Linked DNA regions of Coturnix japonica. The protein of the gene in region 1 purifies or fractionates together with the protein of each later gene. This does not show direct contact. Links are inferred from orthologs where the notes say so. Each region holds a gene or a part of one and is shown on either strand. Other genes may lie near its edges. The genes, in order: PTPN9 and LZTR1.

Region 1 (4,382 bases):
TCCGTTTAATACCACGTACAGGGACTGCTTCCACCGCCTGACCCCGGTGTTGTACCTGCGGGCAGCGGGAGCCGTCAGCGCTGCGGTGGGCGCTCAATGGGAGCCGGCCCACCCCGCTGTGCTCCGTATGGAGGAGGAGGCGGCACCCCGGCCCCGGGGCTGGTTCTGCTGCCGGGCATCCCTCGGGATGAACCGCAGCTCGGGTTGCAGCCCCGTTCGGCCATCTGCCGACGTGACGGGCTGCGGGCTCCGCTCGATGGCCGACAGCACGCTGATGGTTCCCGTTCCTAAAGCAGCCCCCGGGCCGGAGAGAAAGAAGGGCGAAGAGGAAGCGTGCGTTAGGAGCGGGGCTGTGGGGTGGAGGTCAGCCCCACAACGCTGCCACCGCGCTCGGGGCAGGGGCCGAGCCGCTTCTCTCTGCCCTTTCTTCCATTTTCTGCGAGTTAGGTGCAAACCCTCCGGCTGCGGGCGAGCTGCCAACGCGCTGCTCCTCGGCCGAACAAAATGTCCCCGGCTGCGGAGCGCGGACCCCCGGCCCTGGGACGGCCCAACCCTCCCCCCAACCGGGGCGGTGCCACCCATCCCGAGCGGGTCCGGCTGGTCGCTACCCGGGTGGCAGAGCCCGGGACCGGCAGCCCCCGCCCCGCCGCGCTTCCTGCCCGCCCCTCCCTCCGCCGTCGGGCCGGGCGCAGGGGAGGGGGCTGCGGGCGCTTCCTGCCACCGCCCCCGCGGGGCAGCGCCGGGCGGAGCGGAGCGGGGCGGGGAGCGGCGGCGGCCCAACCCCCAGCCGAGCGGCGCTTCCCGGGGCGAGCGGAACTTCCCGGCGCTTTGCGATCCTTACGGCGTTTTGTTGGTTTTTTTTTTTTTCCCTTTTCTTCCTATTTTTTTGTTTTCATTTGAATATTTTCATTTGCGTTTCGTTCTCGTTTTCTTTCTTTCTTTCTCTTTTTTCAATCTCATTTTCTCCTTTCCTTTCTTATTCCGTTTCCATTCCTCTCTCCATCTATATCCCATCTCCTCCATTCCCTTCCCATCCTCTCTTCCCTCCCCGCTCACGGTCGCGGACACCCCGGGGCGGAGCCGCCGCCGCCGTCTCCGAGCGGCCGCCAGGGAGGGGCGGGTGCCCGCAGTGCCGCCGCTCCGGGGATGGGCTCCGCCGCTTAGCACGGCCCGCACGGCCCGGCCGCAGCATGGCCGCGGAGCTGAGCGCCGAGGAGGAGCAGGTACGTGCCGGCCGAGCTGCGAGCACCGGGCGGCGGACGGCTTTGCTCCCCCCTGCATCCACGCAGCCTCCGTCTGCCCCTTATCCGCTCCATCCGCACGCCCCCCCACCCATCCCCGTTCCTTTCCGTTACGCATCCCCTCTGCTTCATCATCTCCATCCCCGGCTCTCCCGCAGGCTCTACCCCGCCGCCGTAACGGAGCCGCCGCCCCCCTTGGTGCCCGTGGGGCTGTGCGGGGCTGTGTGCACGCTCTTCCCACGCCCCGCACCTCCCGTGACGTCCCGGCTTCCTCCCCGGCCGTGCGTCACCGCGGGAGGATGTTGCTGGGCTCGGGAGCGGGGCTGGCAGCCCAGCATCGCCCTGGGATGTGCGGGTGGGAAGGGGGGCTGTCCCACAGCTCGGGGATCTGGGACGCAGCAGTGACGCAGGGCTTTGCTTCCTTTCCTCTGCCCGCTTTATCTCTAGAAGGTGGGCAGGTACATCACATTTCGGGGCGCATCTGGTGCTGGCCCATCTGACATCGCTTTGGGTCGAGCCAAGTGCCAGCCTTGTTCTGCCACCTAGTTCTTCCCCCCCATTAAATTGCCTTTGGGGAGTCCGGGGGATGCTAATAGGAATGTCCTTGTGTCCTGCAGGCCACCAAGCAGTTCCTGGAAGAGATCAACAAGTGGACGGGCCAGTACAATGTGTCCCCGCTCTCCTGGAACGTGGCCGTCAAGTTCCTCATGGCCCGCAAGTTCGACGTCCTACGGGCCATTGAGCTCTTCCACTCCTACCGCGTATGTCAAGGGGGTTTGTGGGCTCACACATCCCTGTGTGTCATACTGGGGGTCACACTGTGTTCCCACTGCAGGAGACGCGGCTCAAGGAGGGCATCGTGAAGCTGAAGCCTCACGAAGAGCCGCTGCGTTCAGAGCTGCTCAGTGGGAAGTTCACCATCCTGGTAGGTGCATGGGGTGGCAGTGCACAGTGTGGTGCTGCCTACAGTCATGCCATGACCTTGCTTTCCTCCTGCAGAGCGTTCGGGACCCTTCAGGGGCATCCATTGCCCTGTTCACGGCCAAGCTGCACCACCCCAGCCGCAGTGTGCAGCATGTGGTGCTCCAGGCGCTCTTCTACCTGCTGGACAGGGCCGTGGAGAGGTGAGCTCTGTGTTCTGCCACTGCCTTGTGTTCTGGATGCTGCTTTGTTGTTGCTCGCAGCCCAAGCTCTGTTAGTTCAAGTAGCCTATAAGCAGCAGCTCGCCCTATGTTTGCATGCCAAGGATTGATGACAGCCCGTTTAGAAGCCTTCCAGGCATGGCAAAAATCAGTGGCATCCTTAAGGCGTCCGCATGTGCCTCGTGTTACTGTGCCGGGGATCTCCGGCCCTTGGAAAGCCCCGGCCGTGGGAGCCCTGCTGGAACACTGAGCCCAGTCACCCCGTTCCTATGGCTGGGCTTTGTCTGTGGGCTGACACCATGTACCTGGGATGGGCTCAGGGTGGGGGAGAGGCAGCTTCGGGCTCTTCATCTCACTGGGAACACAGAGGAGACTCTTCTGGGGTCACTGAGGGTGCGTCCATGATCTTGGAGTGGTGCTGCTTTTTCCCCCTGCCCAGTTTCGAGACACAGAGGAATGGGCTGGTGTTCATCTACGACATGGCGGGCTCGCAATACACCAACTTCGAGCTGGACCTCAGCAAAAAGATCCTCAACCTGCTGAAGGTAACGACGGCAGGGATGGGATGGGGCAGGATGATGGGATGGGGGGGGATGCAGGAGGTTGGGTGCCATCCACAGCCCCTCGGGGGGAGGCTCAGGCACTGGGAGGGGATCAGCTGTCCCCACGCGCTGGATTCCTCACACAGCTGCTGGCAGCTCTTTCATGAAAACAGATGCAAATTATTTTTTAATGGTGCTGGCATTTCGTGCCTCCTCCCTTCTCCGGAAAAATAGCTCCCAGTAAATAGCAGCTGGGGCTCAAAGCCCTGCTCCCGCCCTCACCGCTGCCTCATCAAGCCCAGCCCTCTGCTGGCCACATGGAAATCGATGTGGACTGGAGCATGGACTGTGCTGGGAGCTGCTTTGCTCCAGGACCCTGCGGTTGTCATTGCTGTGGGGCCACGCTGGGTGTGGGTTAGTCCTGCAGCGTGGAGCCGAGCCGTCCCTGAGCCCTCGCTGTCCACAGGGCGCTTTCCCAGCGAGGCTGAAGAAGGTGTTCATCGTGGGAGCACCCATGTGGTTCCGCGTGCCCTACTCCATCATCAGCCTGCTGCTGAAGGAGAAGCTGCGTGAGAGGGTGAGTGTGGGGGCTGCAGGCTCCTGGGGGCTGGCAGCTTTAAAAGGGAAAGAAAACGAGCCACGTGGGAGAAGATAAACTTGGTTGCTGCTTGGAACAATATGCCCGAAGATCTCTGCTGCTTGAGCTGAGGAGAGCCCTCCTGCCGGCTGAGCTGAGTGCCCATGCCTGTCCTCTGCAGGTGCAGATGGTGAAGATGTCGGAGCTGAAGGAGCATTTGCCCCGCGAGTGCCTTCCCGAGACCCTCGGCGGCTGCCTCAAGCTGGACCCGCTCAGCTGGAACTGCCGCTTCCTACCGCAGCAGAACGGGCACCCCGACCCCTTGGATGAGCTTATCCTGGTGCCACTGGTGACCCCTCGTGACAACGGCTCGCTCCACGTGCCCGGCCCCAAGGCTCTCACCCCGCAGGAGCTGCTGGAGCACGTCAGCCGCAAGCAGAAGCGCGGTATCTATGAGGAGTATGAGGACATCCGGCGCCGGAGCCCGGCCGGGACCTTCGTCTGCTCCTTGTGAGTTGAATGGGGTGGGAGGGGCAGCGGGAAACTGGTGCACGCTGCTCCCGGGACTGCAGCCAGGTGATGGCAGCAGAGCCCCGGGCATTGCCTTGGGATGCCCTGCTGCCCTGCCCTGTCTCTGCCCCAGGGCGCCCTACAACCAGGAGAAGAACCGTTATGGGGACGTGCCCTGCTTGGACCAGACCCGCGTGAAGCTGGCCAGGCCCTATAGCCGCCCTGAGGTGAGCCCCCATTGCATTCCACCAGCCCATCCCTGACGCCCAGTATCTGGGTTCTCACTCGCTTTGCTTGCTTGGAGCTGAGCCCAGGGGTCATGCTGAAGCCATTCCTGTGGTACACTCATGCCGTGTCATTGTCCGCAGCT
Region 2 (3,801 bases), on another chromosome or scaffold:
TGGGAAGAGGTAAGATCTCATTTGGAATGGACCAAATGCTGCTCATGTGCTCTGTCTGCAGATTGTCCTGCAGTGTGTGGCATCGTGCTGCCATGTTTCTGATTGAACATCCTTGTCTTTCAGATTGAACAGAGCGGTGAGATCCCCCCTTCGTGCTGCAATTTTCCTGTGGCTGTATGCAAAGACAAGATGTTTGTCTTCTCGGGGCAGAGCGGAGCGAAGATCACCAACAATCTCTTTCAGTTTGAATTCAAGGAAAAAATGTAAGTGCAGACAGTAACACAGTGCAAAAATCATTCTCCACTTCTTGAGTTGAAGTTGTTGAGAGCAGTGCTGCCTTTCGTGACCTGCATGGCTGGATTAAATAAGACATGGGCTGTGTGGGTGGGACTGTGTAGCTCACTTTGTAATGCTGTTCTCCCTCACCCTGTTTGGTGTCTCAGATGGACGCGGATTCCCACTGAGCACCTCCTGCGGGGCTCCCCCCCACCCCCCCAGCGCCGCTATGGTCACACCATGGTTGCATTTGACCGGCACCTCTACGTGTTTGGTGGTGCAGCGGACAACACGCTGCCCAACGAGCTGCACTGCTATGATGTGGACTCACAGACATGGGAGGTTATCCAGCCCAGCCCTGACAGTGAGGTAAAACATTCAGCTTTCCTTTCTGCCTTTTACTTTCCATCTTGTAATTCAAGTTTTGAGCCAATTGTTACCCAACAGAAATGAGAAACGAAGTCACCCTGTGACAACCATCACAGCTGTGTGATGGGGTGTCAGCGTTGTGCAGTGCTCTGCTCAGAGATGTGCTGGCATTGCAGTGCTGGGTTCGTGCTGCTGGCAGTGCAGTGCCCTCCCAGTGTGCAGAACACAGAAGGCTGTGTGCAGCCTGCACACATACACACACTGCCTGCCTTTGGAACAGCAGGGCTGACTGCATGGGCTCATTCTCATAGATCTCACTGTAAGCCATCTGCAGGTAGTTCAGCTGATGCAGCAGTGTGTTCTGAGTGTTTGTGTTGGCTGCTGTGTGGGGAAGCAGCACTTGGCTTTGTGGTGAGCTGCAGGGATGAAGGCTCTCCATTACACAGGTGATTATTGCATCAGTGAGGATCAAACACAGATCTGAAGATGATGGGAGCCTTCCTCCCACCTTGCTTCCTCGCAGTGCTCTGCGCCCCCCATGAGCTGCTTCCTGAGCCAGGCCCTCCCTGCAGCAGTGCTGCCCACCATTCCCCTGTTGGCATGTAGGGAAAGAATCCATGCAGCCTTTTGTTGAGTTAAAATGTGTTTTCAGCAGCTGGGTTGTGAGGACATGTTTTGTGTTCTGCAATGGGACTCCAGCAGCTCTGCATTATCACTCTGCTGAGCAGCACCACAGCTGGAGCAAACGTGCAAGCAGGTCAGCACCCATCTGACAGCTGGATGCCATTCAGGTTCCTGTGATGCATTTCCTTAATCCTTTCTTCTTTTGCACCGCTTCTGGTGTTAAGTGGGCAGAGTCTGCAGAACCTGAAGAGGGACTGGCACTGATCTCAGTGCCATCACTGGCCTTCTGAAGCCAGGAACAGCATGTGCTTCTGATACTCAGAGCTCTGAACTTTTTGCTTTTCTTCTCTGTTGTAAATCAGCAAGGAGAGAGCTCAGCATGTTGGTGAGCTCCCCTGGCTTTGCTTTGAGGCACAGTGCTGGGGGTGGATCGCTGTGCTGTGCTCTGTGGATGGATCAACTCATCACGTGTGGGTGAGTGCCACGGTCTCCCTGTGCAGAGCAGTTACAACCACTGAGGTATCTTCAGGCAGAAGAGATGTTCTTATGGAACAAAAGCCCAGATTCCATCACTGAATCCCTGACCAGAGCTCACAGCCTTCAGGTGTGGCCTCTGGAGCTGCCATGGTGTCCTATTCTGCTTGAGGAGATGAAATTCAGCACCTCACAGGTGGTTTTATGGTTGTATGTAAAGGAAGCGCAGCATTCAGAGTTGCATCCTCTTTAGAAAGTACCTTTTTAAATCCCGGATCATTGTAGCTGTGACCTTTCCAAGTTTGTGCTCAGCAAACCGGAGAGATGTCTTGAAGAACACGAGATTTATTAAAGAAAAAGGTTAAAGGAATTAAAATGACCGTAATTTGGGTTGTTCCACACCTCGGTTCCTTTCTGTTAAATGCATTCATTTCATTTCTCAGTGATGTTTATTATGGAATTCTCCCCCAAATAAGAGAAGTTTGGGCTTGTGTGGGTGATGGGCAGAGGGTGTTTTGTGTCTGAGGTGCTGCAGCAGAGCAGTGCTACCATGACTCACATTAAGCGGATATAAGGTTTGATATCTGAAAGATAGGAAATGGGATTTTGAATGAGGAGTGGTTGCTCTGCTTTGTCCTTTGGGGACCATTCATTTGTGTTGCATTGTTCAAAACTTTTGTCAATGGCCTTGAAAGAAAACAGGAAATCACAGCTTTCCCCTGATATCTCCTGATTGCCTGTGGTCTTAATGATGAAATCCTCAGTGCTTTGGATTCCTTGTTAAGGTGGGCCCAAGCAAACGGTCTGTTTCAGCAAAGTAACGCATCTAGGAACAGAGAATGTGGTTTTGCTGAATGGTTTCCCTTAAGAAAACCCTTGGAAACAGTGAGTTACAAGCTTTAGTCATTGTGGGTAGCTGAGAAAAGCTCCTTGTAATGGAAAGGGCCTGCAAGTGCTGATGGTATTTTTGGCTGTATGAGCTGACATAGCATAGCATCGTTTAGTAACAAAGATGCATCGCCCCTGTGTTCCTTAGTTTAGCTCCCAGTGTAGTGTGGACCATCTCCTGTGGCACTCTGTGATGTGACTGTGCATCTTGTGATATAACAAGATATATTGTGTTATATCACAGTGACTCCCTGCTGAGTCCTGTAGGAGCTTGTGGTGTTCTTCCTGTTTGAGAGCCTTCTCACTTAAACTGCAGCCCTGCTTAAGCTGTGGCTCTGCATGTGAGCTCTGAGGTGCATCAGAAGCTGCCCCCAACCTAACCCAGGGTTAGGGTTAGGGTAAGTAAGGGTAAGGGTTAGGGTAGGGTTGGGTTTAGGGTTAGGGTAGGGTTGGGTTTAGGGTTAGGGTAGGTTTGGGGTGGGAAATGTTCATTTGGCTTAATGCTGCTTTTGCAGCAATTCAGCTTCATTTGCTGAGGACTTTGAGTAAAGCTGAGTGTTCCTAGTGAGGTTAATACTGAAACCAATGAGTTTATGTGAGGGTTTGCACAGGTTTAATTAAATTAATTTTGATGTAGGTGGAAACAGCCCTAAGTTGGTGCTCAGGGCTCTGATGTCAACTATTTGAATGATTGCTGGCCTGCAGCACAGAGGAGCAGAACTAAGGCACAGCTTTGTGAGCCAAATCAGAGCCCCGAGGAGCACCACAGGATGAGATTTGAGTTTGTGCTGGCTTGAGTGAGTACTGAGATGGGTTCTGGGTGCAAGAAATGCCAAAGGAGTGAGTGCTGAAAGGTGATGTGAGCCATGGCAGCAGTGGTGAGGGGAGGAGGGGTGGCTGATGGGTTCTGCTGTGAAAGTGAAGATCCCATCTTGAGCTCGCAAATCTCGTTAACCTAAAATAGGGAAAGCACTTCAGCAGATGAAGCAGGTCGGTGTGCTGTGAGCACAGTGTGTAACCCAGGGCTGCAGAGATGTCAGGGCTGAAGCGAGGATTCTTTCTGTCAGCACTGCTAATAAAGTAAGGAGATCACAATAACTGGGGGATAAGAATGGGAGCTTTAGGAACCAAATCCATCTGGGGGCAGTGTGTCTCATGTGAGGCTTTGTG

Evidence for each region.
Region 2: the proteins of PTPN9 (region 1) and LZTR1 purify together in Homo sapiens (affinity purification with mass spectrometry; 3 studies listed by BioGRID and IntAct, with this or other methods). This does not show direct contact. The link is inferred for Coturnix japonica from reciprocal best matches to the Homo sapiens genes PTPN9 and LZTR1.

The regions. Positions count from the first base shown.
Region 1 is NC_029525.1:1,988,032-1,992,413, reverse strand, and holds the start of PTPN9 (tyrosine-protein phosphatase non-receptor type 9), read left to right. Parts: upstream 1-1,525; 5' UTR 1,526-1,540; coding exon 1,541-1,699; intron 1,700-1,858; coding exon 1,859-2,002; intron 2,003-2,076; coding exon 2,077-2,166; intron 2,167-2,240; coding exon 2,241-2,365; intron 2,366-2,822; coding exon 2,823-2,928; intron 2,929-3,391; coding exon 3,392-3,502; intron 3,503-3,683; coding exon 3,684-4,012; intron 4,013-4,145; coding exon 4,146-4,239; intron 4,240-4,380; coding exon 4,381-4,382. UniProt on the Homo sapiens protein: Protein-tyrosine phosphatase that could participate in the transfer of hydrophobic ligands or in functions of the Golgi apparatus.
Region 2 is NC_029541.1:979,096-982,896, forward strand, and holds part of LZTR1 (leucine-zipper-like transcriptional regulator 1), read left to right. Parts: coding exon 1-9; intron 10-123; coding exon 124-263; intron 264-443; coding exon 444-645; intron 646-3,801. UniProt on the Homo sapiens protein: Substrate-specific adapter of a BCR (BTB-CUL3-RBX1) E3 ubiquitin-protein ligase complex that mediates ubiquitination of Ras (K-Ras/KRAS, N-Ras/NRAS and H-Ras/HRAS).